Nothobranchius furzeri: one gene and its partners. The protein of the gene in region 1 purifies or fractionates together with the protein of each later gene. This does not show direct contact. Links are inferred from orthologs where the notes say so. Each region holds a gene or a part of one and is shown in the gene's direction. Other genes may lie near its edges.

Region 1 (7,842 bases):
ATCAATAGAAAGGCATCATTATTTGTGCAAAGCCACATCATGTTCCCACTCTACATTGATTTCATGCCAAGAATGGTTTAAGAGGTCACATGCTTTAGGATTTAAGTCAACTGCACAGCAGTAATACTTCAGAGAATAATAAACTATAAAGAAAATCTTCAATTTTAATTAATACGCTTAAAACGTACCCCAACAATGCCAGTAAGATCCATTATGCCAAACGAGAAGTTATTACAACTCGTTTTTGTTACTCCTGATTTATTTTCCCACACATAATAAAATACTACCTTACAAGTACTTTCCGGATCTCGGTGCTCCTTCTGAGGATTATACACAGTAATACCCGCAGAACAGGGTGGTGATGAGTAGAGTTTGAAGCTGATTGAAATGCTAACAACAGACACACAATAAGAGTCGTTTTAAAATGAACAGAAGCTTATTCTTACCTTTAGGATGTTGGCAGAAATCCTTTCAATCAGATTTAATTCACCTTCTTTTATCCACGACATTTTCCGGTTTCAAACGCTCTGAAATCCTGTAAATTAAACACAGTTTTAAGAAGTGAACCGTATATGATTCACCTTGAGCTGCAGAACTGGTTATTGCCGATTATTTCCATATCGTGTGCTGTATTAAATTTCATCGTGCAGCCAGTGATTGATTTCAACCAGAGAACTGGCTCCAACTGACCTGCTGTGAGGCTGAAAACCAGCACAAGTCTGTACTATATTTATCTAGAAAACACTCACCGTCGGTGGAAAACTGCGTCTTTCATTCAAACCCACGAAGAACGAGTCGTTCTGCCACGGCTACGACGATTTTCCTCACATTTCTTTACACCTTCCAACTCACAGCTCTTTCGATGACGACCACTTCCTGACTGGAGCGAAACAACGCATGCGCACGATGACGACTTCCTGTCAGCCGTTATTAGATTTATAAAACATGGGGATGGACGCGGAATTTGTACAAGATAAAATCAAAGAATGAAGATAAGAAGCATAACAAGTATAACGTTGGGTCTTAAACTAAATCAGAAATGGACTGAATGATAGTTTGAGAGTCATAGACCCTCCAAAATGTCCTGTTTTCACTTACAGGCACAGTAGAGCTTCATTTGCATTTATTAAAGGTCACCAGAATTGGCTAAAATTTGCATTGGCACCACTGGTGTCCTGAACTTTTTCAAAAATGAATGCAGCCTTGCTAGTTTAGTAGTTTTAGTTTTACAATCATTCTAATCTGTAGGAGTAGTTTTAGGTAAGAATTAATGTAGATCAGAAATTATTCCCTATACTACTTTCTTTACTCTATGTATAATCTTAGGTCAGTTAGATTAGCAGTCAATTAAATACTGTCCTGCTAATGTAGCATTCTTGCTGCTCATTCATTTTGCTGGGACCCATTGCCAGATTCTACACTGGTGCAGTCAGTGGGGTTTATGCTCTTCATGGTGCATGACAATTCCTGTCATGCCGTGCAACGTGGTAAACATTTGCACTTTTTCCTGTTAACTGACCCCCATGCACACCTGGCCTAGACACCTGTGGCCTCTAGGATATCATCCATTGCTGCCAGGTTGCATCTCAGACTCAGAGTCAAAGTTCCAGCAAAGTCCAGATCTGGAAAGAAATACTTCACACAATCTGTTGCCTTTTTAGGAATATTCCCAGACATGATCATGTATCAGGTATGTATAAAGGGACCGTACTGAAGTTTAATCAAAATATACAAGCTTGTTACATAACTTTTGCACCTTGATTTTTTAAAAATGTTTTTGAAATGTAGTTCCTTGAAGTATTGTTTTTGTTTTATTTTTCTCTAAAAAAGCAAACAGTACAAATATTTAGTATATATTAGACTACTTTTAGTATTTATTTATTATGATTTTTTAAATAAATGGTGCTGTTAAGATAATGCCAGCATTACACCAACAAACTAAATTAGTTCACGTTTCCACTAAACTTTGAGCCTTTTACTTTTTCGAATAGCTGCAGTGTAGTTCCGCTCTCCGCCGCTAGGGTGTGACAGTAACTTCATCAACAGTTCGTTTGCACTTTTTTAAATGGCGGTGAAGAAGTTTTAGATTTTTGGGGGGTGAGGGGCTGGCCTTTTTTGTTCCGCTGGAGAATCCTGCTTGAACCGTGGGCAGGAGCATCACACGGACGACAAATCACAGCACCGCGGACAATCGGCCAAATCACGGAGGAAGCCACGCTGCGCGGTTGGAGAAAAGCGGCTGGAATTAAGACGCTATCTCCCTCCAGCTCCACCGTTAGCAGCTCCGGGGTCAACGGGCAAATCAGCCGTTAGCCTCAAGTCCTCTCCGGGTCTGGGGGGGATCTGGTAAGGGGCAGGGGGCGGGGGTACACCGAGGAGGGTGAAGACTACAGGCCGAGAGGAGGGGGCTGGAAGTCTGAGACGCCTCCAGCCTGAAGGGGCCGGCGGTTTGGCCACAGCACCCCGGAGTAGCTAGCTTGTACAGCGCGGCTAAGTGAATGGGATGGAGCCGGGACCGTCTGGCGCTGGTAGGTGTATTTATTTATTTTTTATAGTAATTTCAAGTGATCACTGCAAACACCCGATTGCAGCTTCACATTTCAGTCGGAAAATCGGAGCGTCAGGGGGAAGTGGAGGAAGCCTTGTAGTCAGCCTCTTCCGTTGCACCGTTCGATGAAAAGGGGCTCTAGCTATCTACATGCCTAACAGTTTATATAAAACAATTATTTTCCTGGTTCATAACCACAGACGAGGCTTATTAGGGTGCTGACAATATCCTCGGCCATGTGCGGGGGCAGTGAGGTCGTGGGAATCTCTGTGAGGAGGGACGAGGTGAAGCCCGCCTTCAAGCCGCAGCAGCAGCTGGCTGCTCCCCGCATGCCCCACACAGCCTCCCTCTCACTGCTGGATCCTCAGCCAGTAGGACCAGCTTGTAACATCAACACGTCACATGCAGCATTAAAGACAGCCCCAGGCTGATCGTGTAAAATTGCACATCCAAGGTCAATAAAGTGTTATATCTGGGTTAGATTTGAGTTTTAGACGAAAAGGAGCAGAAGCCTCCCACTTTAAGTTTTGTTTTTTATCCTGCATGGATGCATTTGATGGCAGCTAAAGATCTATATTTAGATTTTTCTTATTGACATAAGAGTCGTGGAATCGAGCAAATCAGTTCAAAACTGTGTGTGTGCGCGTGTGTGTGTGTCAGGTCTGAAGTTCACCTTTTAGGGGTAAATATAAACAGTCTTAATCCTAATCTATGTAAAGTGTGATCTGAGCACTTTCTTTATAAAATAAACTAATTGCTTAATTTAACTGTCTGTTCATAACCTCAAAGCAGATTTATGATCACCTTAATGATAGACTTGATATTGAACATTAAAGTTAGGTGATGGGTCTATTTTCAGGGGATTTTCTTTGGGAAGGGGGAAGGGCCCATGGGGGCCCCCTCGTTTTAAACTGCTTTTGTGTTTAAAGTGCTACTATTCAATGCGTTTTTAAAAATCGATCCAACATGTTTGCTTCAGGGTCAACTGCCAAGACGCAAATAATCTGGTCAAAGAAGTGGTGGACCATTAGTTTTTCTTATTAGTTTACTTTATAAAACAAGCGAATTGTTTTTCCAGTACCCCAACGACCAATATTTATCCAATTATTTATTTTTGCACTTTAAAACACCTTAAGTTGGACAAACCACCCTTTACTTTCACCTCATTCCATTATGAGGTCAGATTAAGAAACATCTGTATGTTTTAGATTGTAGAATAAACTGAAAATAAAATATTTAAGTGGAAATCTTTACCAGCTGTCTGAAAACAAATGAAACTAAACTCAATCTAAACCCGTTTTTAAGCAGTTTTTCTTGGAATTGGGTTTAAAGACATGTAGTAGTGAGAGATTTCAAGTTGTGATGCTCCAGTTTTAATTCTTACCGCCTGGGAGAGAACTCCATTGTGTTGGGATATGTGAGAGCGCTGGCTCCACTTCTCACCATCTGCCTTCACTGGCACGAGGGAGAAGCGTGCGTCTTTGTGCGCGAGTGTGCAACAATCACAACACACTGGCGTGTTCGCACTCATGCATCCTCTAGTGTACAGTCGCCACATGTCTTGTATCTGTGTTTATGGACTTTATCAGATGTGTGATTCTACATACAGACTAAAACACGCAGCAGAGCATCTTTTTTTATTAGGTTTCTGACCGTTACTCTTCCTGGAGGTTTAACAGATGTTGAGTTGAGTGGTGTGAGATTACATCACCAACTGTTTGAAACAAAACTTTACCAGTTTAGGACTCTCTTAAGTGGCTCTTCCTTCTGGTTTGTGATCGCGCTCAGTGCGGGGCCACACAGGCCAAGGTCTCTCCAGCATGACCACAGTGGCACCCTGCCTCCTCCCATCTACAGCGGCCATGCACCTTCACACCGCTTCACACACACTCGCACAGATCCCCTTATATCCATGACAATACTGTGTTGCCGTGGTGTCTCCATGGTGAGGCTGGGAATGTAGAGGGAGGGGGGGCTCTGGCGTTTGTGTGTATGAGTGCGTTCATCGTAGCAAGGGCACTCCCTCTGTCGTACAGCCGTGTGTTTCTGTGTGTGAGACGGAGGAGCGGGGCAGCTGGGGTCTTTGTTGTGATGGAGGAGGGCTGCTCTCTGGGGACCCCAAGGTTAAGGCAGTGGGCCCCTCTCAGGCAGGAGTCACAGCTAGGCTCACATCCACATCTAGCACCCTGTCTAGGACCCCCCCCCCCCCTTTCATTTTTTGTATCAGACACTCTTTCAAACAAACATTTAGTGTTATTTTTATTATTAAAATGATCGTGTGCACTGAAACTCCCTCTTCAGTTGGATTGCAGGTTCATGTGTACACCTTCTTGGACTTTACCGTGTGTCCATGTCAAAGATCACCTCACTCACACAGTGTCTGTTACATGTAAGCCAGGTTTATTTTTTGAAAGCCTAAACCTCCATAGACACCTGCTGATTCTACTTCATAACAGCCACGTTAGCATCATACAGCAGGCTTTAAAATTTTAACCATATCAGGCTTTTCGTTTCTTCAGCTTGACCCAACACTGTTCCAACATCAATTCGAGTCCTTCGGGCTACCATCTGCTGAGACACTTCTTTAAAAACGTGTCCTGAAGGCGGCTGTTGCCGACGATGGTGAGGAATGTTTGGACCTCTGAAGCTGACCAAACCTTGCTGCTAGATGCTGACGTTTTCTCACGTCCGTTTACAACTAATGATAATACAAACAACGTACCTCCAGGGTTTGTTTTGATTCTTGTGAATCATCATCATCATCAAGGCTCCTGCGAAGGGTCGGGTATCGTTTGATTTTGAACGATTCCGATTCTGATTCCAATTCCTCGTTTCGATTCCGGTTCCTGTCGATTCCCGATTCAGATTCTTTCAAGACATGACATGTTTTACATGAGCTAGCTAACCACAGGTCCTGCTTGATGAAATAATCTTAACTTCAACATGAATTTTACTTCTATGAACAATAACATCACCTTCATTTAGAAAAAAACATGTTTTGGAGAAAAAAAGAAAAAGTGTGTTTGTTTCTGACCACAACCAGTCTGGAAGAAGCCTCTAAGATGAGAGGCTAAATGTCTCCGACATATCCAGAAACGTCAGCTGTTTTCAGCTAAAACTCTCAGGATGATCATGTCCAGGATGACTGAGAACTACTCCTCCATGCTGCAGCAGCATTCAGTCAGAACAGAAAGTGAAGCTGCTGTCAGTAACATGCTGTCAAATAAACAGATTTTAAACATTAAAACTCTCAGCAGAAATGGTTCAAAAAGGAAATTAAAAAGTTCACAACTTTGTGTGTGATTTATTATTATTATTATTATTATTATTATTATTATTATTATTATTATTATTATTATTTATTATTATCCCTTTTGGCTCCCAGTGGCAGAAGCTGGTGTGGTCCAGCACAGAGAAAGCTGCTCTTGCAGGATGACTTTAATTATTCTACAGGTTATTGTTCAGCCTGCTGACACACACACACGCACACACGCACGCACACACACACACACACACACACACACACACACACACACACACACACACACACACACACACACACACACACACACACACGAGTGTTGGTGAGTGGCTGCGTCTGACTGCTGAAGCTCTGTGTGTGTTTTTATTTCTGCAGTGAGACAAACTCACCTCACACTGTCCAGAGTTTGTTCTTTAAAGCTTCTGTTAAATCCACCGTGTTGATGTCTTTTAACAAGTTTCCTCTACAGGAATTAAAGTTTACATTACGGAGTAAAAGTTCGGCAGACGCGAATCAAAATAAAAAACTTTGAACAATTCCGGGAAAAACTTGGTCCCGGTTCCAATCGATGCTCGATGCCCAACCTATCCCTGCCTGACACTCAGGCTTTTCAATTTGTTTAGTCATGTGACAGTAATTGTAATCATCTCAGAAGCATAAATGTGTGTACTTAATAATGTAAATTCAGCTTTAATAATTTTCATTCTATACAAAATCTGCTGATTTTAGAAGCATTAATATCAGTATATCGGTATCAGCAAATATCGGTTTTCGGCCATAACAGTGATATAGATATCGGATATTGGTATCGGCTTAAAATTTTTATATCAGTGCATCACTGATTTCAGTGCTTGGAAAAACAAGTAGATACCAATCAATCCTGTCAGAGAGAGATGTCATTTATTCTGCTGTTGGAAATCAACCCAAAACATACAACCATTGTCTTTACTTCGTATAACGAACAACCAGAAATCCTGAAAAGGATTTTTGAGGTCCGTAGTATTTGTTCCAGTCTACATCCACATAGCTGTTAGTTTGTCTAAATATCTTGTAGAACTATCTGCTAAGTTCCTACAAAAACTTTTTACGAATGTACCTAGAAGAACTTTCCTTTATCCTCACGTTTATGAAATGTTATTATTTTACGATATTATTTTTCTGATGTTTACCTATTTCTGTTTTGAGATCATTATGATTTTATGACTTTGTTTTAGGGCTGGGCAATGAATCGAACATTTATCGTTATCGAAATTTTTTACTCTTGTCGTGATAAATTTTCCCATGTTAATAAATTTGATAATAAAAAAAGGAAAAGATGTGTGTAGGTTCACTAGGTTGGCAACATTCATGTCCCTTTAAGAAGCTGTACCACCGTGAGTCACGAAAAAATGTGACTCAACATAATACGTGTGACAGCCCCATCATGTGGACAACTTTTGCTTCTGCGCATACCTGTAGTTATCGTCCACTTATCGTTATCGAGGTAAAATCCTCAATATATCCTGATATTAATTTTAGGTCATACCGCTCAATCCTAGGGGTGGGCGATATAGCCTAAAATCTATATTGCGATATAATTTGAAAAATGTGCTGTAACGGTATAACTTTGCTATATATGACTTTCTTTTGTATATATGTCAAAAACGACTGTTTCTAAACATACTCACATACCAGATACATTGCAGCTGCAGAATAAACACACTTCAAACAGTATAAAATGCCATTTTAAGAAAATTTATTGTGCAAAAATCAAAAAGCTTTACGAGTAATATTTAAGATATGTAACAGATCTTTTTCCTTTAGCAAATGCTTGTAAAATATCCGTCTGCTGGTGTGTAAGACCACCTTTTTTCTTACCGCTCGACTGACCGGGCATTTGTTAAGGACGCAGTTTTGGGCTTTCTTCGTATTCCACAACGTGTTTCGTTTTGAGGTGGTAAAACCTATATTTATGTCGATGGGTAAAAACATATTAGATGTATTCCCTCTATTCGCTAATACTTTCTTCCGGCATGCTTTGCAGATTATATTG
Region 2 (8,131 bases), on another chromosome or scaffold:
TGAACACACCAATATTTGCACAAGAATAATTTTTGTTTTAAACTCTCAGTGACACACTTTGCAGGGGGGATTTGGCATTTATTTTTTCTTGGCGTCTGGAAAAACATCTCCTTCTGCCCCCCTTTGAATTTCTGCCCCCTTTATTTTGGTCCAAGATCATTACTGGGCTGGCCCTACCCTGCTTAGTAGACTTAATGAAGTATTTTTAAGCCAGTATAAAAACAACTGAAACACAAATTTACATATTTGGCATTACTGACCAATATCTTTGGTTTAATTTATTTAAGAAAATCAAGATGAACATTATAAAGTAAAATTTTCTAGTGCAGAGAGGAGACAACCCATAGAAGCACTGATTTGATCTCATTTCAGAGAAAAATAGAACAGGTCCGATACACCTAATAAATAAAATTACTAACAAACTCAGGAATCTTTCTTTGCTTCATTGTTCTGGTGCTGAAAACATCACTAATGCAGATCAAAGGAGATACACCAGGGTGTCCGCGGGGTTTTAAAAAGTATTAAAAAGTGATAAATAAAAATAGTCAAATTTAAGGCCATTAAAAGTGTTAAATTTGGTCTCAGAGGTATTATTTTTTCCAAGTTAGGTATTATTTTTTTCAGACTATCAGGTGTCGTATTCTGAACATCGACATAGAAATATATTCCGAATGAAATGTTTTGAACGATTATAAAAATAAAACAAGCCGATTATTTGCTCCTCCCACTTGAGCTGCCCTGAGTTACAAATGAAGCGCTCCGTTGCCAACTTAGCGACTTTGATGCTATTTCCAACAGCTTTTCAGACCCCCTTCTTGACTTTTTAAATCTTAAAAGTACCTGGCGAACACCTCAGAAACATCTCTGGTAACCCTTAGCTACTTTCTGGATAACTATCGTCGACATTTCCTGCTGCAGGTTAGCTAAACACTCCGCCTGCGCTCCGGACCGTTCTTCAGGACATTAGGAAAGGGAATGATGTAATGATGTGTCGGTCGCTAAAGAAACAGCTCAGAGCCGGCTCCCTGTTGGAGTAACCAGAGTGAGTGACACACACCGTACCTGCGGACTCCTGAGCCACTAAAAACGGCTAAGTGTGCGTGTGCGGCGCGCTAAACACACGTGCAGCTTGCCCCTGATTGCTGTGAGACCGGGTTGGGGGGTGGGGGGTGCAGCTGTGGTTGGGACAATTATTACATTAACTGATGGACTTGTTAATAAATAGTTTATAAATAAGGTAGAAATAAGTTCCTCACGCTAATAAATAATAACTAATCTCTCTGAGGACACGGTGCTAGTGCACTCTCCTACAGCTCCTTGACACAACTCAATAAATGTTATGCAATATTTTGTGAACATCAATTTATTTGCATGTATTTGTTATAAATGCCACTGTATAATTCTTGCTGTCAGTATTTGCAAGATATTGGTATTTGGGTCTGCACTGGTTAGACTTAAATGAGTTAAACCAAGGTCTATTGCCCTTGGGTCATAAACTATGAGCTATAAGTATATTGGTCTTTTTATACTGGGAATCAGGAGTTCTTTTAGTGATCATCTTGTTTCTTGTTTATTTTTGCCCTGATTGTGCCCTGAGCAGTTTTATGACTGAATAAAAATAAATTAAAAAAATCTACATAAATTGAAAAATCGTCTTAAATAATCGAGATCTCAATTTCAGTCACAATAATCGTGATTATTGTTTTTGCCATAATTGAGCAACCCTACTTTAGCATATCCGGTCACATTATGATGACGTCATATTCAGTGGTCGTTCTGCATCATTTCAGGCCCCGTGGTCAACTGTCTGAACCGCTGAAAAGAAGTGCCTGGCATATTTTCTAAGTAAAATAAATATGCGCAATACGTTGTCAACATCAGTGAGTCTCTAAGTCTATGCTTTTTGTATGTTATATATGTTAAAATATGTGTAAATAGGTCGCTGATTAACACTTGCAATTTAGTGTTGTGATGGTTTTAAAAAAATTCTGAAGGTAGTAAAAAAAAGTATTAAAAAGTAGTAAATTTTACTTAAGGATTGCTGTATATACCCTGTACACAGATGAATGCACCTCTTATTTATTATTTGGAAATTAGTGGGTGTGGTTTACATCAATACATTATTTTAAATCTGAAGCTGATAAAGATTGATCAGAAGTTGCTATGTGTGTTGTTTATTAGAAAAATATTTACAGAGCAGCCTCAGAATTGAGATGAAATGTTTTTGATCACAATAGCAAAGGAACTATTACAGAACAAGTTTTTCACTAAAATCAGAACATTAATGTTTAAGTGCATGAATTAATGCATCTGAACTCATGCATTAGGAACTAGGAAATATGAAATACTAGAACCATTTTATTTTAATTTGATTAAACTGATTTTTTTTCCTAATGTTGTTGGCATTTTCCCCACACACAATTGAACAAACCAATGTTGATTACCAAGCTGCTACATCCTTCTCATTCTTGTCAGGTTTCTAGTCTGGGTTGTTGCAGAAATCGAAAGCAAGTTAGAGATCCATTTACCCTCGGTTGTTTTGCCGAGTTGCCATCTAACCTTTTGCTTTAACCAGTGAGTAGTCAACATGTTGAATAATAATTTATTAGCATTCATTGACTCTGGTAGGAATTGTTTTATTATGCTGAAAAAGGTCAGAAAACTAAATGTTTTGTTTTGAGAAACCACGTAGTGTTTTATGAACATTTAGCTCCTTTTTATCCATCACGTCTTTCTGTGAGCATGTGGATTGTTTCTAAAGCACAAGATTGTGACAGCTGTTTGAAATACTTCAGGATTGCTTCGGAAGCTGATGAATGTGATGGCTAACGTTGTGAACAATTATTTTACAGATGTTTTGAATCTAAAATTACAAAGAAAGAGTATTAAAATAAACTAATAATGGCTTCTTTCCTTTCCTTTATTTTTTTATTTTTTTGTGCAGCAGTGCCGAAGCATACTACATCAAGACGGTCCTTAATCATAACCACGCCTCCATCCTTCCCCGTCCCTATTTACAAACAATCACAAACACCAGTCTTCAGCGATGCCAAGGGAGGCTAATCAGCCTGTCTCCTGCTCTGACAAGCCCCGCCTCCTCACCTCACACCCTTGAAGCTGTGCTCACTAAGTGTTGACCTTTGACCTCCCCTGTGCCGAGCTGGGAACCAAAGGCCACCTGTTCTCTTCTGAAACCGGGGACACCCTCCTGTCCAGCCAGGAGCTGCAGCCACCAGTGGCACTCAGAGGTAAGCAGTGGGGGTGGGGGGGTGGGGGGGGGGCAGGCATTTGCATTCCCAACTGACTCCTCCTTTATGAAGGACTGAAGGCAGCTGTGCATTTAAACGGCTACAGATGTGAGCGGGTGTTTAACCCTCAGGTCTGAGGGACCTACTACATAGTTTTTATGAAATCAGATGAAGCAATAAAGTTACTTGCACAGACCCTCCACTGCTTCATAGTCAGAAAACCAAACTATTGCCTTAAAGGGACGTAGTTTTTTTTTATGCATGTAAACGCATTAGTCTGGCTAAAGCACCCACATAATGCGGTAGAAACTCAACTTCATCTGCATGTAAATGACTCAGTCGAGCTGATGCCACGAGACCGTGGAAGTAGTCTTCTGATAATTCCATTGTTACAAAGTAACATGCGTTACACCATCAAACAGTACAGTATCAGCTGTGCTGCCGCGCCGTTGTCCATTGCTTCACAGCCATCGTTCATATCCTGTTTTAACTCTGTCTGGCTCACTCCCGCCAGCATTGGTTTACTATTTGGGCAGCAGTCGCTCAGGAGGTAGACCGGTAATCAGAAGGTTGCAGGTTAGATCCCGGCTCCCATCAGACAATGCTGCTGTTGTGTCCTTGGGCAAGACGCTTAAGCCTCAGGCTTCACTTTATTTTACTATACACTTGAGTCTTTAGAGGACAAAACGTCCGCTGGTAAAAATGGCTATAAAAATGTATACAATAATATTTTTCTTCTGCTTTTTTTTCATCCTTCTGTTAAACTACTTCAGCCCTCCATCATTTTTAACACTTCAAATGCCAGTTTGATTACTCAGTCATTTCTGGAATTTATGGAGGAAAAAACACAAAAATGACTTATTTTCCCCCAAAAACAACTGTTTCTTCCTGGGGCATTTATTATAAATCAGGCTTAGTCATGTTATGAAATAACTGAAAAATAAAAAAATTTGCATCCGTAGTTTTTGTGTAGCAACAGATTGATCTTGGCGGACAAAAATGTCCCATTGACTTCCATTCAAACCACAGTTTTTCATCCTGTAACATCTGGAAAAAGTAATCATGCTTTCTGTGATATTAGTGTTTCATTTTTCACTAGTGAAATTTGTGATTTTTACTGTTCTTCACCAAATTCAGTTATTTCTCCATACGTGGCCCAGGTGAGAAAGTCTACACATTTCTTTAGATCTTCTGTTGTTTGTATTGAAGTCAAAAGGTCAACCTGACCTCTGATAAGTAGATAAAACACAGTTTGACTCTCTTACTGAACTTCAAAGTGTAGAAAGCAAAAACAATTGGTATGTTTATGCACGTGTCTGGAGCTCCAGCCAGGTGCATAAACATACTAAACTGTGGTTTGAATGGAAGTCAATGGGACGTTTTTGTCCGCTAGACTCAAGTGTATGGTGTTTTTTGTTTTTTTCTTCATAGTGTTCACTTGGTTTATTTTCAAAATTCCAAATTGAATTTCGAAATTTGTCCAGGGAGGTGTTTTGCAACAAAGATTTGTACCGTATGGTACGGCTGAACGATCTATCGTTTTTGGACCGAAATTCCGATTTCAAACAGCACGCTCATGTGACCGTCAACGCTATGGTTTTGGAGGTTTTGACTGATCCCGGATCAGTTTTGTAACTTTTTATTTTTTATTTTTTACATCCGGGGTTGTCGCCCTGTGTTATGTCGGCGGCAAAATCCAGCGCGGGGGAGGGGAGTGGGGTGTGCCATCCAGAGCAGAGCCCAACTCCAAAGCTGCCAGAGCTGCATGTTCAGGTTATTGTTCCTGTTTTACGTTCCCACACACAGCGCTGCTAGAGCCTATAATAATGGGACCGAAGGTGAGCCTGGGACAGAGAGAGAGAGAGAGAGGACGTAGGGGGTAAGGGAGAGAGACTCCTCCCACATCGGAGCAGGTTCAGGCTTATTTCTAAAGCTTGGTTTATGCTTCATCAGCGCGAGTGCGGAGCCGCGCACTTTAGTTGACTTGAAAGCTCAACTTATCTTTTAAAAATGGTTTGAATGTTTCTGATGGCACACGTTAGCTCAAACAAGCTAAGGTGTCAGAATGCTTGTGTCTCTCACGGAGTTGACATTTTAGTGAGGAAAATCAGACGACTTTGAAAAACGTGCAGCCAGCCTGCCGCGGTAATGCAGGGAAAACTGTGTGCATTTTTTTATTTAATACATTTAAAATCTATGTTTACTTACAGATTTCCTCCATGCATTTTTGGATAGAACATGTTTTGTAAAGCTCCTCTCTAGATATAAACTACAAGCACAAGTTGCTTCACAAACACATAAAAAAATGTAAAAAAAAAAAAAGATAATGGGAGAATATAATGGCTAACTGTTTTTATTGTATGATTAAATAAATAGTAAATATTAATGTGAATGATTTGTTGTACTAGATTAGAATCTAGACCATCTTTTCACCTAATCTACAGGGTGGCTTGGCAGGCTAATGCTGGATCTTTGTTTGCAGAAAATCGTGAATTGAACCGAAATCGCAATTTCTGCTAGAAAAATTGCAATTCAGTCTTTTCCTAAAATCGTTCAGGCCTACCATATGCACAAACAATGGTGAAATGGCATCCAAAAGAAAAGCAAAAAACTGCCCAAATGGACAAAAATGTCCCTAATGAAGCCTGAGGGTTAAACCCACCTTTTCTGCTGGTGGTGGTCGGAGACTGGTGGCGCCAGTGTTTGGCAGTCTTGTGTCTATTATTGAACCTCAGGGCAGCTGTGGCTACATTGTAGCTCATCACCACCAGCGTGTGAATGGGTAGATGACTGATTGTGTTGTGAAGCGCCTGGGGGGTAGAAAGAACCCTAAGAAGGTGCTTTACAAATGCAGGCCATTTACCGTTTTGGTGTTGCTAACCGGAAGAATACCGACACAAAAGGGCGCATGTTGCCTCGGAGTGGAGCGAACTTCATTTGAGAGTTCGGTTTTCTAATGTACAAATAAACTAGGATAATGGCTCCCGGTTAGTTGACTTTGATAGACCTAGCTTGAGTTAGTAGTGCATCTCTCTGTGATGGCTGCTATTGTGTTTATACTCGTAACCAGAAGTCTAAAATAAATGTTTGTGTCGTAAAATATTTTTATTGGGGTGTCAGTCATTTATTACAAACTATGGTATGGTACATAATTCTCAGAAATTATCAATCAATGAAGTCTTTAAATTCTTATATTATCTAAGAAATAACTAGAGATTTAGTAACAGAAAATACTAGTCCTGCTTTCCTTTAAAGCTGTTTTTCTAAACTCTTCTGACTTTAAACCTTTTTTATTACTGTATATTTATTCCAGCTGTTTCTAACATCTTCTCACATTGTTTTCCATCTCTGCTTCCCTTCGAACCTTGACAGTCTCCCGCTTTCTTTTTCCAGGCATGGCTCCCATTCGGGATTCCGTCAGCCACTCTCCTAACCAAACAGGTGACAACATATTGTCTTCTTTTAAAAAATACTCCTCCTTTGCATTTACTGCTCTGTCAAAGTGCTTTACTTTTGCTTTCTGCATAGAAAAGATCCAACCTGGACTTGACCTTGTCCAGTGGTGTGTTGTACTCCCCTCTCGTCAGTGAGACTGAAATGAATTCATGAAAAAGTGTGTGTTGAAGGGTGCATAAGAAGACCTGGTGCAGGCATGAAGTAGTGGATAGTGACTGAAAAATAACAAAGGCAAAGCTAAAAACACCATTATTATGGGCCTGTGTCCTTTTAGTTCTGTGGCTCATAAATAAATAAGTTATTAATACACTCAAACACCTGAGTGTGATTTATACTTCTGCGTCGATCCTGAGACATTCAACGCCATTATACGTTGGCGCAAGGGCTCTCCAACGGGCTTACAGATTGAGACATGCCCAAAATATTAAACATCTGTTAGAAGTGAGAGACCGCAAGCTTGTGATTGGTCAATTCAATTCAATTGTATTTATATAGCGCCAAATCCCGACAAGAGTCATCTCAAGACACTTCACATAATAAACATTCCAATTCAGGTCAGTTCATTAAGCCAGTCAGGAAAAATGTTTCCTATATAAGGAACCCAGCAAGTTGCATCAAGTCACTGACTAGTGTCAGTGACTATACAGCAATCCTCATACTAAGCAAGCATGCAGCGACAGTGGAGAGGAAAACTCCCTTTTAACAGGAAGAAACCTCCAGAGGATCCTGGCTCAGTATAAGCAGCCATCCTCCACGACTCACTGGGGATCGAGAAGACGGAACACACACACAGACACACACACACACACACACACACACACACACACACCAAGCAATGTGTCCATGGTTACACCGTGATTGCTTAGTAAATATTCTATTTGGCGAGAGATAAACTTTCTTGTATTTATCCTAGTGAATCTATTGTTAAACGGGTAAACTAGTAGTAGCACACCAACGTCAAGGAAAGCAAAAAGTTATTATCAGGAGAGGGAGAATGTTTAAGTGTTTAGCAGCAGTGTGCTAGACGATGGTCCCCTCCATGAGGCCACCACAGCTCAGCAGAGCATCGTTGTAGCTTCTTCTGGGGAGAAAAACACTTAGAGAGAAAAAATAGTTAACAGCTGAAATTGCAGAAAATAATACAGTTAAAGAGCAGATTGTAGAAGAAAGTAGTAGAGTGTGAAAAGTGGTCAGTGTGTCCTCTAGCAGTCTAAGCCTATAGCAGCATAACTACAGAGATAACTCTGGATAATCTATCCTATTTAGATGGAGGCATGTTGGAGGCAGGACAAGGGAGAGCCGTCTTTACCGACTCTACACTCCACCTCCCTGTACTCTCCCACTTGTCCAGATCTAGGCTAACATCAGATTTTAACCATAAGCCCTATACAAGAAAAATGTTTTAAGCCTAGTCTTTAAAGTAGACA
Region 3 (7,397 bases), on another chromosome or scaffold:
GCTTGTTTCTTCTTTATTGTCCAAAGTGAAGGTGCCAAACGTGGAAGCTGGTTAGGTAGTTAGTACAGCGCACTGTTAAGCTCCAAGCTGTTGATCTACTTAAGTTAAAATCTTGACCTAGTTGCTCTCTTGAGATTTACGTCTAATCAACTCTCTAGATCAGCGACGCAGTGCCAGCTCTTTTCTTTCAAGAGGCTCTCACACGTTTCACAACACTGAATACAACCGTGTGAGGGGGTAACCCTGGCAACCTGACACGGGTACCCAAAAGAAGCACAAAAATGCTGTTTACTGCGTGCCTCGTGAAAATACTGATTTGCCACAAAACAGTTTGAGACAGATCGGAAGTGTGTGATTATATGGGAGCCACCATCTGTCAGTAGTTTAGGGGAGAAGGTGGAGCATGTTCCCAGACAGCCAAAGAGAGCAGATGCCCCCTGCTGTTCTTCATTAGACTCTGCAGTTGCTGCCTGTGATGGACTTGGATGAAACCTCATTAGATGTTTTAGTGAAAAAAAAATGAAGAATTTCTTACTAATGTGAAAATAGCATCTGCTTGTCCTGCTAAGGTTTCTTGAGATGGTTGTAGGTTTCTGGTCTCCCATACCAGAAGGTTGACTGTAACTTTAATTTTGGATCAGCCTTTTGGACTTGACCTTTCCCCGGTGGGAGAGCTAAGCTGAGTCTGGCATTGCTGCAGGCGTAACGGCAGCACCGTGCTTCTCATGCCAAAATAGACTTGCATGTGCCAGAGCTTAAACGGGGACCTCCTCCCTCTACCGACAGTCTGGCTCAGCCAAGCCCACTTTTCTACCTCCCTGCATGGCTGGTGCTTCACTCTCAACCTCGTCGCATTTAACCTTCAGCTCCTATAAATAAGTTTGAAATAAAAAAATCAAGCCAAGGTGAATGAATGGTATTTAAATCATACACACAATAATTAGTTATGACGCTTGGTGTGAGAACGTCTCATAAAAAGGTTAAAACTTCTGCATCAGCTGGACTGACTTAATAAAACCAATTTGCTGTCCTCACTGCTAAAGTTCCCAATCAAGCTGGATTGAAATTAGTTATTTTAGATCGTTTTGCAACATCATAAGTAATTTGCTAAATGCTTCTTTTTCTGGTTTTTGTTTAAAATTTCTGAATAATATTATTACTGCTGCTGTTAAAAATAATAGTAATGATGCAGTTTTGTCACGTAATTTAGCATTCTGCAGTAAGATCATTTTAAAATGTGAGGAGAGTTTATCAGAGCGGCTGCAACACGTGATTATTATAGAACATTACTAATCTTAACAGGATGAGCCAAAAGGCCTTTACTATAAATATTTTGACATAATTCTAAAAATCTTGAAAGCCCTTAGGTAGGGGTAGGGTGATGTATCGGTCCGCCGATATTTACCGTATTATTTATATTTTTTATATAAATTGGTATCGGCCAATATTAGTCCTAAATAAAGCCGATTTAAATTCAGGCGCATCCTCGAGCAACCCGGTTCTGTTACAGAATTCAATTCACAAAAACATCTGCACAATAAATACTTTAAATTAATTCTATTTGTCTGATTTTAACACTGAGCGGTGCAAAAAGTTAAGATTTAACGATTGGTTGAATTTAGAGTTCAAAAAACGGATCCAGCTTCAGAAACTTTGTTATTAGTGAGATTTTAGCATGAAAATAAGAAGGATATCGGCCATGAAAATCGGCAGTACATATCTGCCATCAGCTTACCGTGTCTCCTACATATCAGTATCGGCAATAGATCGGTCGACCTCTATCATTAAGTTTGCTATACCTGGTTAGAAAAACCAAATATGGGGGGAAAGAGACCATGGATACCGTTAACCTATCGTGTTTCCTAGACACTCGTCCTGATCTCGTGGGACGTTTTTGTTTTTCACACTGCTGTCCTTGCGTGCCCTCCAGGTTGGGGCGAGCTACCCAGCTCCCACACTAAATCAGAAAGCTCTTGGGGCGACCCTGCACCCTCTCCAGGCAGCATGGATAATGGCACGTCTGCCTGGGGCAAACCGAGCGGGAGCTCTGGAGGCTGGGGAGACGGCAACCCAGACAGCTACAGCAGGAGCAACCAGACAATGACCACTGCTTCCTGTAAACCCAGTAAGTAAATCCTGGGTTTGCAACGGTGTTAACATGTGAATACTGATGGCATGCTCTAGCTCCGCCGCTGAAGCAAACAGTGTTTTTCTCCTGCTGAGTCAAATCAAGGACAATGTGACAGAAAACCCCATTTTTTTAGCCATAGGTCCACACTGCCCCCTAGTGGCTGCAGCGTTTAATTTAATGTCTGTGCAGCATGTTGGTTTTACTCTGTCCTCGTTGCATATATTTGTCTCAATACTTTTATCATTATATTACATTTATTTCTTTAAAAATTACATAAAATGTTAGCCTGTAAAACACTTGTTTATTTGTTAGCTTCTGTGGAAAGCATAAATACATTCACTTAAACTGATGCTCAACTTTGATTTCTCTCTGAGGTTTTGTAAACATTTATTTTTATTTTTTATTTTTTGTTTGTTTTTTCAGCCTCCAAACCTATGCAAGATGGATGGGGAGGAGGAGGAGGAGGAGGTGGGGAAGAGCTCAGCCTGTCAGGTGGTCAGTGGGACACTGAGGAGGGAGACATGTGGAACAGCACTGCATCCCAGGAGAGCAACTCTTCCTGCAACTCCTGGGGCAACACGTCCAAAAAAGTCCAGCAGAAGGTAGAAAGCTGTTCATGTGGAATGAGGAGATGACAAATATCCTCCTTTAGTCAGTTCTGGGAAAGCTTGTAAAACCTAAACTATTGCTGCTTAGCTGCTAGTAAACTGGTAGCACGTTGAGTTGGGAATCGGCCCGTTTTTACTGCTGGGTGTTTTTTCTTGTTCTGAGGAAACTGTTGAATGTGTAAATGCAGGTAGCAATGAAATATCTGGACCTGCAGATCACATTCTCAGACTTATTTTAAATGTTGTTTCAGTCAACTTGAAACTTGCTGAACAATTTAGGGTTGGGCATCGAGCATCGATTGGAACCTGTTCCAACTGTTAGTTTTTCCCGGAATCGTTCAACGGTACTTTTTTCGATTCCTAGAATGCCGACGGAAGAGGAATCCGCAGCCGATGTCCATGAAAAATAAACGTGATTTGCAAATTGTGATCATCACCTTTCAGAGCTGATCACACCAGCTGTATGCAGCAGCGAGTGTCTCCCCCCTCCCCCCCCCTTGCAGCGACCAGATATAACGCGTCTGCCGAAATTTTACTCCGTAACATAAACTTTAACTTCTGCAGCGAAAAATGCGTAGAGGAAACGTCAACACGGTGGATTTAATAGAAGCTTTAAAGAACAAACTGGACGGTGTGAGGTGAGTTTGTCTCACTGCAGAAATAAAAACACACACGGAGCGTCAGCAGTCAGACGCAGCCGCTCACCAACACTCTGTGTGTGTGTGTGTGTGTGTGTGTGTGTGTGTGTGTGTGTGTGTGTGTGTGTGTGTGTGTGTGTGTGTGTGTGTGTGTGTGTGTGTGTGTGTGTGTGTGTGTGTGAGCGTCAGAAGGCTGAACAATAACCTGTAGAATAATTAAAGTCATCATGCTAGAGAAGCTTCTCTGTGGGTGGACCACACCAGCTTCTGCCACAATAATAATAATAATAATAATAATAATAAATAAAAAATTTTATTTCCTTTCTGAACTATTTCATTTGAGAGTCTTAATGTTTAAAATCTGTTAGATTGTTACTGACTGCAGCTACATTTAAGTTTCACTTTCTGTTCTGACTGAATGCTGCTGCAGCATGGAGGTGTAGTTGTCAGTCATCCTGGACATGATCATCCTGAGAGTTTTAGCTGAAAACAGCTGGATGTTTCTGGACATGTTGGAGACATTTAGTCTCTCATCCCAGAGGCTTCTTCCAGACTTTGGTTGTGGTCAGAAACAAACACACTGGTTGTGCTGCAAGTCTTTTTCTTTTTTCCTCCAAAACATGTTTTTGTCTAAATGAAGGTGATGTTGTTGTTCATAGAATTAAAATTCATGTTGAAGTCAAGATTATTTCATCAAGTAGGACCTGTGGTTAGCTAGCTCATGTAAAACATGTCATGTCTTCAAAGAATCAGAATCGGGAATCGATAGGAACCGGAATCGAAACGAGGAATCGGAATCGTTCAAAATGAAACGATGCCCAACCCTGCTGAACATACTCCATCCATGTTTTTACGTGATTTTGTAATTCCACTGTGAAGTGTTGCTGCGTTGCCGCGCTAACCGCCGTCTCCCTCAGGTGAAAGTCCCAGGGAAGCAGGAAGATGTCTGGATCTTGAAGCATCTCATCAAACAGCTGACAGATATGGGGTTCCCTGTGAGTGATGCTGACGATGCTTCATCCTAACGTGAAGGCGTAACGCAGAGCTCTCACCATTGAACTCTGCTTGCTGTGTTTTGTTTTTCCAGAGGGATCCAGCAGAGGAGGCTCTGAAGAGCAACAACATGAACTTGGATCAGGCCATGAGCACCCTGCTGGAGAAGAAGACGGAGCTGGACAAGCGTGGGATGGGGCTCGGCGGCCATGACTACCACAACGGGCTGATCAACAAGTCCATGAGCTGCCCTCGGCCTCCGCTTCTTTCCAAAGATCCTTCAGCAGACCCTCGTCTGCCCTTCATTGATAAGGTACCTCATTCCTCATCTTCAAAAAATGTTTGAATAATTGTGGTGGTTTGGGCTCTCCAGCTGACGCGGTCTCTTGTGTGCTGCAGATGCAGAGTGGAATGTTTGGCGGCGGTGGAGCAGCACAAGCCCGGGCCATGCAGCAGCCGCAGCCGCCTCCTCAGCCACCAGTGCCGCCTCTCAGCTCCTCTCAGCCTAGTCTACGTGCTCAAGTGCCTCAGTTTCTCTCCCCTCAGGTTCGGCCACGCTCACCTACAAACACTCACGCTTGGTTTTAACCACGGTCAGATTCGTAGTCAAGCAACTGAATTAATGCAGGAAAATGCGTTTGTTTGATTTGAAACATCTCAAGAAGAGTTTCATAAAACTAGTCAACCTTTAGATGTTGTTTTTGTCCATCCACAGGTTCAAGCACAGCTCTTACAGTTCGCAGCAAAAAACATTGGTCTGAATCCTGCACTTTTAACCTCACCAATAAACCCTCAACATATGACGCTCCTGAATCAACTCTACCAGCTGCAGCTGGTGAGTCCTTCGCCGTTTAATGAACCCATCAGTTTCTGTTCCCGTAACGTTTAGACTTCAAAATAAAACCCCACTTAGAGCGGTTTATAATTGACTCCAACTTCTTTCTTATTTGTTCAAAGACTGAACCACAGATGGTTTTCCTTTTCTTTTCTTTGTATTTTTTTTTTGGTTACTGTTGATTTTTATGGAAACAAATAAATATTTTAATGTTTAATTCACAGGCGTACCAGCGTTTACAAATTCAACAGCAGATGTTGCAGGCACAGCGCAATGTTTCTGGTCCCATTCGACAGCAAGAGCAGCAAGTACGCTTCCCTCTTCATCCTTGTTTGTTTATTTAGCTGTTCTACTTTATTCTCTCCTCTTCTAGATGGTTTACGAACTGGCTCACATTTGTAAATATTCAAGGCGTGTTGCATGTTTTGGATCCTAACTGCGGGTCCTCTGATGCGTTCTCAGGTTGCACGTACAATCAATAACATGCAGCAGCAGATCCAGCAGCACCAACGACAGCTGGCCCAGGCTCTGCTGTTGAAACAGCAGCAACAGCAGCAGCCCCCCTCCCACTCAGGCCTGCATCCTGGTGGAGCCAAATCCACCCTGGATTCATTTCCAGGTCACCCCCAGACTCCAGGCCTCCCCGACCTGCAGACCAAAGAGCCGCAGTCATCCCCCAACACCTACAGCCCCTATGCTCTCTGTGAGTGGCAGGAAGTGTTGATCTGTGACGGTGAGAGGGATCCGATTGCTGAGCATCATTTGTAACATCGGTCTTTCTCTTTCTCCTCAGCTGGACTGAATCCAAACCTGAATCCAAACTGTATCGATGTGGGAAGTCTTCCTCTGAAAGAACCCCCGCAGCCCCAGTCGCGGCTGTCTCAGTGGACACACCCGAACTCCATCGAAAGTCTGTCTGGACACGCCTCTGCTCTTGAGCCCAATCTGGGAAAGCACGGTGAGGAAAACCACAAGATCCAGCTCATCAAGCAGCCTGATGTTTCAGTAAAAGCGGTTTCATTCTGTGAGTCGTCAGTTTCCATAAAGTCCTGGAAGATCAAGAATCAACAGAAATCTTTCAAAACGTAGATCAGGAAATCATGTTTGTATCCTACAAATCATTATTAAATGTATAATTATTATAATTAAAGGAGCATTACGTACAAATTTTACAGTGAAATAATCGCAAAACAGTTTAATGTCTCAGTCAGCGACTCTTAGCCAGCTGGGGGGTTGTCAGTTTTTCTCTCTTTCAAAAACTAAAGAGGGACGCGGTTACTGTTTACAAAGCGTTTGTGAGGTTGCCATGTCTCAGGTGAGCCAACACTGCAGCGCTGGCATTTGTAATTTGACACTGGTCGGCAAAAAGCTCCAGAGATCCTAAGCCAGGTAACAGGAGTAACCGAGAAGTTATTTCTTGTACTTCTAAGAAACCACGACATCTTTTTGTTTTACGCTAATATCTGGTGATTCAGGCTAGAAGCTAACGTTGAGCTAACAATGAATTAGAAGCAAATAGTCGGCTATAAAAATATCTCAAGCAACTTTTTCGATTACCAAAAACTCTGTTACATTGAAACGTGTGTGTGAAGTGAATAATGACTCGGTTGTGGTGTTTTACTTCTTTTAATGAGTCATTCAGAGCTCAAACAGCAAGACGGCGCTGGAGAAATATTACCGTAATAATTGTAGTAAGTGCTCCCTAGCGTAAAACACCCAAAGGTACTAGCACCCAATATGGTAATGCATTTATCAACTTACTTACAACTGACTCGTCGTTGCTTGTCATCTAGAATCTTCGGTGCTGATTCGTTACTGACGTCAGCCATGATGGCTTAGGAAAATGGACTGCAGTTACCTCATTTGACCACATGATGTCATTCTCACTTCATTTTTACATGTTTCACCTTTAAGTAAAGCCATTTGTTTTGTCTGGGTAGGTGCCCCCCTGGGGCCTCCTGGGAAGCCCCCCCAGATGGACGACTCGTACCACCACTACAACCTGATGTCCAGCTCCGAGTCTCCTACAAGCCCGCTGGTCCCCCCCGAAAGCTGGGGGCAGGGCAAGAACAGCAGCGACAAGATGGCAAATGGGACCAACATCAACTGGCCACCAGGTTAGAAAACGTCTACTGTCACATCATGTTTGTGGGTACTTCAGAATGCGTACTTTTACTTTATTCCCTTCGGAG
Region 4 (8,107 bases), on another chromosome or scaffold:
TGATCATGTAACAAAGAATATTTATTATTTATTAGATAAATAGCTTACAGAATGTGAAAAAATGGAAAAGAAAATGAAATTGAAAAAAGGAAACTACTTGAAATAAATCTAATACTTAAACAGTAGTGATCATGGCAAAATAATACTGTAGAAAAAGATGAAAATAAACTAGTTTTAATGTTTGTCACACTTAAAATTTTTTGTTACCAATATTTTGCACTCTGTGTACAATGAAGAACAAAAGAAAATTTAATTGGATATCCAATTGAATTGAATTTTGTGCTTCATTGTACACAGAGCACAAAATATTGCGCACACACACACACACACACACACACACACACACACATATAAATATATATATATATATATATACAACTACAGGGTGTAAGATACTGGAAGGGAAAGCATAGATGGAATGCCGCTACCGAGTGGATGGCGTCGCATACAGAGACATCTGTGCAGAGTATGGACTGGAAGCTACAAGGTCAAAGTGGGTAACACGCCCTAAGGTGGTAGAGAACAAGAGAGCTGAGCTCCTGTGGAACTTCCAGGTCCAGATGAACAAAATGGTGATGGAGAACCAACTGGACATTGTGGTGATGGACAAACAGTAGAACAGCCGTTGTGGCCGATGTGGCGATACCAAGTGATGGTAACATCACGAAAAAATAACACGAGAAACTAGTGAAGTACCAGGGCCTCAAAGAAGAACTTTAGAAAGCTTGGAGAGTGAGGACATTGGCATATATATAATATATGTTCAAAATTTTCATGGTTTTAAATGTGCATTATGTAGAAATTAAGTAAAAATGAAGTTCTGAGGTAAAACTTGGTTACTGCAACCACTTTGAACCACTCTGGAAGTTTTTGCCAGCCGTCGTCTAATTGCAATCGTCGGTGTTGCTGTATTAGCTCACAGGAGACATGGCAACCCCTGTTGGTAAACAGCATATGTCCGTCCTTCCTTTGTTTTGAAAGGAGAAAAAGTGACAATCCCTGCAGCCAGCTGGATATGAAATATGTTTCAGTAGAACCTCGCTTCCAAATTGACTGAAGCATTAGACTCTTTTGGGATTTTCTCACTGTAAAATTTTCACTATTTTCTTACATACTGCACCTTTAAACAAGATAAATGCACAAATACAAGTGTGCCACAGAAAAAGAAAATGATAACACTTGTCAAACTCACTAATTTTCATAGCTGCAAATGTGTCTGCCCTCTTGTGGACCGATGGGAGACAGCTCAAAAAGGACTGCAGTTTAGATTTTTAGTCCTTACTCAACATTTAAAATTGCAATTTTAGATCAAATTTAACAAATGAAGATCAAAAAGAAAATTTGCTTTGTGTAATATATGGCAGACAAGTCTGGCAGCCTCAGCCATCATTCATTCACAGGTCCGAGTGTACTAGTACACGGGCTGAAAATGGAGACATGGTGTTGATGAATGTGGGGGAGCTGAGAGCACCTCTGTGTCTGCTGTGTCCTCCTACTCAGTGAGCAACATGGAGGCAGAGCGTTTATTCTATTCTGGTCCCTGAAAAGGGATTTTTTTCAATAGCTCCTAGGTAAATTAGTCAAAATAACCAAAATCATTTCTCAATTGTGTTACTAAGCCACACCAATGAGACACAGCAGTTTATGACACCTTTCATTTAATTTGATTTTTTATTAGGATTTTTATCCAAAATTAAGGGATTTTTTTTCAATAGATCCTAGCTAAATAATCAACACACCCAAACCCATTTCCTAATTGTGTTACTAAGCCACACCAATGAGACACAGCCGTTTATAAACACTTTCATACAATCTCATCTTTTTTATTAGGATTTTTATCCATAATTAAGGGATTTTTTCAATAGCTCCTAGGTAAATGAGTCAAAATAACCAAAATCATTTCTCAATTGTGTTACTAAGCCACACCAATGAGACACGGCAATTTTTAACAACTTTCATACAATTTGATTTTTTTATTAGGATTTTTATCCAAAATTAAGGGATTTCTTTTTTCAATAGATCCTAGCTAAATAGTCAACACACCCAAACCCATTTCGTAATTGTGTTACTAAGCCACACCAATGAGACACAGCCATTTATAAACACTTTCATACAATCTCATCTTTTTTATTAGGATTTTTATCCATAATTAAGGGATTTTTCCAGTAGCTAGGTAAATTTGTCAAAATACCCAAAACAATTTCTCAGTGTTGTTACTAAGCTAGATCAATGAGACACAGCAGTTGTTAACACCTTTCATGCGATCTGATCATTTTATTAGGATTTTTATAAAAAAAATTAAGGTTTTTTTCAATAGCTCCTAGGTAAATTAGTCAAAATAACCTAAATCATTTCCCAATTGTGTTACTAAACCACACCAATGAGACACAGCAGTTTATTTATTGTAGAATACATTTAGACCACATACATTACTATAATGTATTATAGCAATTAGGGATGAGCATTTTTGACGAATACGAGCATGAAACGAGTAAAACACGTAAATATCCGTAATCGTGCTGAAGGAAAATCCTCATTGGGTAACTGACTGTCTTCACGCTCTGTGATTGGCCAGTCACATAGAGCGCCCGCCCCTCCCTACACAGAAAACTGCAGCCGGCCGGGAGCGCAGTCCGTCCGGCTCATCCGCGCACACACACAGACAGTAACGGATCTCGCTGTGATTGCTTCAATGTTGCTCACGTTTCTTCAGTAATCCCTAGGTTTTCTTCAGCTCGCCTCTTTTTCGGTTGAATATTTAAAGTTACTTTTTTCGTAACTTACTTGGTGCATTTGATAAGACAGAGCTGACGTGCTGTGTTAGTCACTACCTCCGCTCCCAGGGTCAGATTAACACTTAGTTGTACCCTGGGCAACAATATTAAAGGTCCCCATCATCACGACCCAAGGATCACCATAATATGGTCACATACAGAATATTTTACTGTAATATGCAGTAAATATACTCAATACTTGAATGCCTGACATCATGTAACCCGCTCAGGGTAACCTTTGACCCACCTCGTGTGGAATGACCAATGAGGAGAGGGTCTAAACTTGAGGCCCTCTCTTCATTGGTCAGTCTGAATGAGACTGACTCTCAACTGGCGTTCAAAGTCATAGGCAGCGAAGCATCTCTGTGCAGCGCAAAAGCCCGGGTGGACAGTTTGTTTAATGTAGGGTGATCATATTTCCATTTCCAAACAAGAGGACAGGGGATCTGTGCCTATGACGTCACACTATGGCAACGCCACACAAACCACGTTGGGACCCATTTTTTTGTAAGAACTAAATTAATATCAGATTCTGCCAATAAAACGGCTCTAAAACAATTCATATGTAAATATTTAGCATATTTCTTGCAAAATCTCATTTTTCTGCTTTAGTGCTGCAACAAGGTTTTATTAATAAGAAATCATTATACCTTTTGTATAACCTAACCTAAACATGCACTCAAATATTTCATACAAAATATCTGACCTCTTATCAGCTGACATTTCTTTAATTGATAACAATGCTGACATGGAGTCTGAGCAAATAATACTTTTCCTAACACCATTTTGTTCTATCCACTGTAAACTAAATGAAATGGCTAACATTTCCACTGTATAAACTGACAGATTATTAGATGTTCGACTTTTATAATATATACTTAATGTCGGAATCCAGAAAGAAAATCCCGTTATATTTCCTGACACTTTCGACCCATCAGTATATTTAGGGATGAATGCTTGATGAGTGTCATTCCCACCTTCTGAGGCACAGAAGGCATTTGGGCCAATCGGGGCTTACGCTGCCCAGGACGCAATCTACGTCATAATCGTGTGACCGAGGTTGTCGCTGTAGAGGTGGTTTCGTCTTCTGGTATCCATCATGTTGCAGCTTTAGCTCATCGTTTTGGGACAACAATAAATACCGTCTAATGAGAGTACGTGTCTGTTGTGGCGGGGGGGATTTTACATCCGAAACCGAGCGGTTCTGTCTGCGCGAAACGGGGAATGAACGACGAGACAGCTTCGGATAGCTGGAAGAGAAACTCCGGGGACTCCAGGTGGGATTGTCTTCTTGATAAAAGCCATTTGTATGTAAACAATATAAAATGTCAGAGTCAAAGGCCTCAGAAACTAACGCGTGCATGTTGTTTTAAGTGTTTAATCTTCTGTTATTCTTTTAATCTCTACAGCTTAACTGTTTGACTCATCGTTAATACTCTTTATCTGGTGGCTTTTTACTGCTAGGTTGATTTTTGAGGGATTATTGTAATCTGGAAGGCAACAGGTGGTCAAAAACACTAATATAATGTTTTCCTAAATGTAAAGATCGGCATAAATTACACAAATCTCTTTATTCCATTTGTAATATATGTAATAAAATAAGCTGATTGCAAACATTTCTGGTTCAAATCTTCATTCCAGATGGCTGTAGCTGCCGCCTCACAAATAAATCATTGAATAAAAGTGCCTTCTTTTACTCTGATAATGTAAATAATAGAGTTTTATTGGTTTGTGCCCATTTCCTTTGTACACTGTGAAGAATCTCACCTCAAAACACCACACTTATTATTTGGGTCAGTATTCATTTGGCAAATAATAGTATTTTTTTTCTTGGAAACATATTTCACAGATTGAGCCTTAAAGATGGCACACTTTTCCTATTTCTTGTTGCATTTCGTGAAACTAAAATATAGACAAGTGTAGTTTTTCCACTGAACATTGTAGCGTATGCCCTTTAGATTTTAGCAGCAATAAACTAGCCACATTGTTGTGTTTTGATCTCAGTAAAGATGATAACAAAATAAGTGAACAGCTGCTTATGCTTTCTATCTTTTAAATAGTATTGAGCAAATGCTGGCTGTGAATCCTGGAAAGACGCCCATCAGTCTGCTGCAGGAGTATGGAACGCGGATAGGCAAAACCCCAGTGTACGACCTGCTGAAGGCGGAGGGACAGGCCCACCAGCCCAACTTCACATTCCGCGTCTCCGTCGGAGAGATCAGCTGCACCGGCCAAGGGCCCAGCAAGAAGGCAGCTAAGCACAAAGCAGCTGAGGCTGCTCTGAAGATGCTCAAAGGAAGCCTCGGAGATCCAGCTGGAGTCGCTGTCGGAGAAGACGTGTTTATCGAGGTTGATGTGTCTATTGACGGAGACTGGTCAGGACCCTACTTCATTTTAAAATGTAGAAAAGAACCTAGCGATGCTTAAGTGATGCTTAATGGCTTGTCTTGATTGGATCCAGACGATGTTTCAACATTGAGTTGATGGAAGAGAGAGATTTGTGTGGATTTAGTCTGTCCTCTCATGTTTTATGCAGCTCTCAGTCAGAGATGAAGACTTCCAGCAGTTCTCAACAGTCGGAATGTAACCCCGTTGGGGCGCTGCAGGTAACTACGCCATAGAGACTTTATTTTATCCTGGTAATCCACAACACTGGTTTCTGTTAGAATATTTCTATAGTTTCCTTCCTTTTTTTTTCTGTTTTGATTTACTTCAGGAGTTGGTGGTGCAGAAAGGATGGCGTTTGCCAGAGTACACGGTCACTCAGGAGTCGGGTCCAGCACATCGAAAAGAGTTTACCATGACCTGCAGAGTGGAGAGATTTGTAGAAATTGGTAAATCTTCTCTCATTCTTGTTTGATATCTGCATGTTGTGCTTTCACGCTCAATTGGATTTGTCAAAATCTGCTTTTATGCCAAGTGAAGGAGTGATTTCCTTTTTCCTGTCCAGGAAGTGGCACATCTAAGAAGTTAGCCAAGAGGAATGCAGCCGCTAAGATGCTCTCACGGATCCACGACGTTCCAGTGGACCTGAGGAGCAGCAACGAGGCAGATGCAGAAGAAGATACCTTCAATTTGGTGAGAGCTAAACACCACAGCAGTGATTTATATGCTTGCGCTTAAATTTCTTGTGCAATTCTCAAAATATCACAAACTGTGCCCATGTTATGGTGATGAAGCTTCTCTGCTTGGCTCTACTGTGTCTGTGTAAAACGTGTATAAAATCATCCCATTTACGCAGCACATGGGCAGCAGAGCGGAGTCGGGTAAAAGCAAAAGTTTCAGCTGCACCTGGGATTCTCTGCGTAACTCTGCTGGAGAGAAGATCCTGCAGCTCCGCAGCCACCCTCTGGGAATGCCAGCTGGCTCCAACTTCTGCTCGTTGCTGAGCGACCTGTCCGTGGAGCAGCGCTTTGATGTCAGTTACCTCGACCTCGGTGAGCTCACGCTCAACAGCACAACAGGAGCACCGTAAAGCGGTTAGAAACTCCTCGTTTTTTTTCTTCACATCCATGCTTGTTTGTTTTTCAGAGGAGCGCAGCCTCAGCGGCCGCTGTCAGTGTCTGGTGGAGCTGTCCACACAACCCATCACTGTGTGTCATGGCTTTGCTCCGAACGTAGAAGCTGCTCGAGCCCACGCGGCTCACAATGCACTGCAGTACCTTAAAATCATGGCAGGAGGAAAATGAGACACCTGGGCGCGTTTTTTGTCCGCAGACCCGAACTCGCCACCACGCGATGCCAATGTACACCTCCTTGTTGTACAGTAGAGGCTTTTTGACCTCAGATTGGTTAAGAGACATTTTTATCCTGCCTTGAAGCTAAACACAAGTTTATCTCTAGTTCATTTGTTGTCCAGCTGGTGAAAATCTCACAGCCTAAAACTCAAACCCACTCCCTTGATATTTTGTGTACTTGTGACAGATTGTTTTAGGAAAAAAAATTGTTTTTAGCCCATTTATCCTTCATATAATTAGCTGTTTTCTTACATATGAAGTTTAAAATATATACATGACGTCATAAATGATGCACTTTTGAGTCATATGTCACAAATGATGTTAGTTGAAATTAATAATTTTAAGTATGTTTTAAAATAATCAGCTTGTCTGATTTGAGTTCAAATTAATGGAGAAATTTGACTTTGTCGTTTTTTTCCTCAAATCTTTGTGTTTTATTTTACAACAAAATCAACGTCGGAGCGAATATCCATGAATGAACCATCTTTGACAAATTCTAGTAACTTTTTTTGAGTTTTGTAAAGGTCTTTTCTGTTTTGAAGTACTTGTCATGAAATAAAATATGATCCTTTTTTTAAAATACATTTAGAATACCAAACCCTGATAAGCTTTGTGATCTCAGACCAGGTGAATAAAGCTGTTAGACTCGTGCTGAGTATAATTACCTCAAGACGTTTGTGTTTGTGACGCCTAGAATTTAACCCAGTGTTTGACTTTTATTTTGATAGTTTAAATTTTAGTTTCAGTGTGATGATGTCACCAAATCTACACGTTTAGCCCCAAATTAATAAGAAAATGTCTTGTTATTTGGATCAATTAGTTATTTTAGACTGTGCAGTGATGTTTTCACCCTGTAAATGACAGAGTGAACACTTTTCAGTAAGGAACCAAAAATATTCTTAAAGTACAACCACCTCTGATTATTGTAAAGGAGGAAGTTAAACAATGTTTTTTAACTTTGGGTGCTACATTTTTTGTGCTGCAGTTTTAAATCCTGTAACAAAAATGTAAATGAAATATGAACTCCTAACTTGCCATTTTTAACAAAATATTGTAATTTTACTGTTGTTTTCACCTGATTAAAGAACCATTCCACTCAAGTACTCCATCCACTTCCTGTTGTGTTGAACTCTTTATGATTTACAACATTTTACATGTATGCAGATTATTTTTCCCCACTAGTTTGAAACTAAGTTTTCTAAACCATCAAATCTTCAGGGCAGGAATAAGTTGACAGAAACTTCTGCAATTCTTTGTCTTTTTGCTTTTCCATCATCTGTTGTGTCTTTCTGTTAAAGAGCAGACTTCTTCATCCGCGTAGCCACTGCTGTCAGACTGCACGCTGTCACCCCGGACCACCTCACCTACACAAACATACATGCAGATGGTTTAACTTCACGTGTTACAAACAAAAACTGGCTTTGCAGCTGCAGTTTGACCTGAATTAGCACAGAAAGGCACCATTTCCCCTCTGAAGAGCAATCCTGCTCAGTGAATCTCTCTCTCTCACCTTTGTGTGAATCTTTTTTGAATGACGGTGAGCTGGCTGTGCTTATAGCTTCTAATTGTCCAACATCATCTTCTCCTGCACTGTGA

Evidence for each region.
Region 2: the proteins of ago1 (region 1) and trinucleotide repeat-containing gene 6A protein purify together in Homo sapiens (affinity purification with mass spectrometry; 10 studies listed by BioGRID and IntAct, with this or other methods). This does not show direct contact. The link is inferred for Nothobranchius furzeri from reciprocal best matches to the Homo sapiens genes AGO1 and TNRC6A.
Region 3: the proteins of ago1 (region 1) and tnrc6c1 purify together in Homo sapiens (affinity purification with mass spectrometry; 5 studies listed by BioGRID and IntAct, with this or other methods). This does not show direct contact. The link is inferred for Nothobranchius furzeri from reciprocal best matches to the Homo sapiens genes AGO1 and TNRC6C.
Region 4: the proteins of ago1 (region 1) and tarbp2 purify together in Homo sapiens (co-immunoprecipitation; 4 studies listed by BioGRID and IntAct, with this or other methods). This does not show direct contact. The link is inferred for Nothobranchius furzeri from reciprocal best matches to the Homo sapiens genes AGO1 and TARBP2.

What each region holds. Positions count from the first base shown.
Region 1 is NC_091745.1:69,200,786-69,208,627, reverse strand, and holds the start of ago1 (protein argonaute-1), read left to right. Parts: upstream 1-2,373; 5' UTR 2,374-2,503; coding exon 2,504-2,528; intron 2,529-7,842. Other genes in the region: dehydrodolichyl diphosphate synthase complex subunit DHDDS, read right to left, coding at 447-509.
Region 2 is NC_091752.1:63,515,764-63,523,894, forward strand, and holds the start of trinucleotide repeat-containing gene 6A protein, read left to right. Parts: upstream 1-3,013; 5' UTR 3,014-3,248; intron 3,249-6,641; 5' UTR 6,642-6,643; coding exon 6,644-6,689; intron 6,690-8,131.
Region 3 is NC_091752.1:53,966,021-53,973,417, reverse strand, and holds part of tnrc6c1 (trinucleotide repeat-containing gene 6C protein), read left to right. Parts: intron 1-1,930; coding exon 1,931-2,125; intron 2,126-2,554; coding exon 2,555-2,733; intron 2,734-4,294; coding exon 4,295-4,372; intron 4,373-4,464; coding exon 4,465-4,683; intron 4,684-4,769; coding exon 4,770-4,916; intron 4,917-5,085; coding exon 5,086-5,205; intron 5,206-5,429; coding exon 5,430-5,513; intron 5,514-5,667; coding exon 5,668-5,908; intron 5,909-5,998; coding exon 5,999-6,163; intron 6,164-7,145; coding exon 7,146-7,322; intron 7,323-7,397. UniProt on the Homo sapiens protein: Plays a role in RNA-mediated gene silencing by micro-RNAs (miRNAs). Required for miRNA-dependent translational repression of complementary mRNAs by argonaute family proteins.
Region 4 is NC_091743.1:62,017,370-62,025,476, forward strand, and holds tarbp2 (RISC-loading complex subunit tarbp2), read left to right. Parts: upstream 1-3,855; 5' UTR 3,856-3,998; coding exon 3,999-4,051; intron 4,052-4,834; coding exon 4,835-5,149; intron 5,150-5,310; coding exon 5,311-5,380; intron 5,381-5,490; coding exon 5,491-5,608; intron 5,609-5,724; coding exon 5,725-5,852; intron 5,853-6,015; coding exon 6,016-6,211; intron 6,212-6,305; coding exon 6,306-6,463; 3' UTR 6,464-6,681; downstream 6,682-8,107. Other genes in the region: tespa1 (protein ITPRID2), read right to left, coding at 7,784-7,875, 8,022-8,107. UniProt on the Homo sapiens protein: Required for formation of the RNA induced silencing complex (RISC). Component of the RISC loading complex (RLC), also known as the micro-RNA (miRNA) loading complex (miRLC), which is composed of DICER1, AGO2 and TARBP2.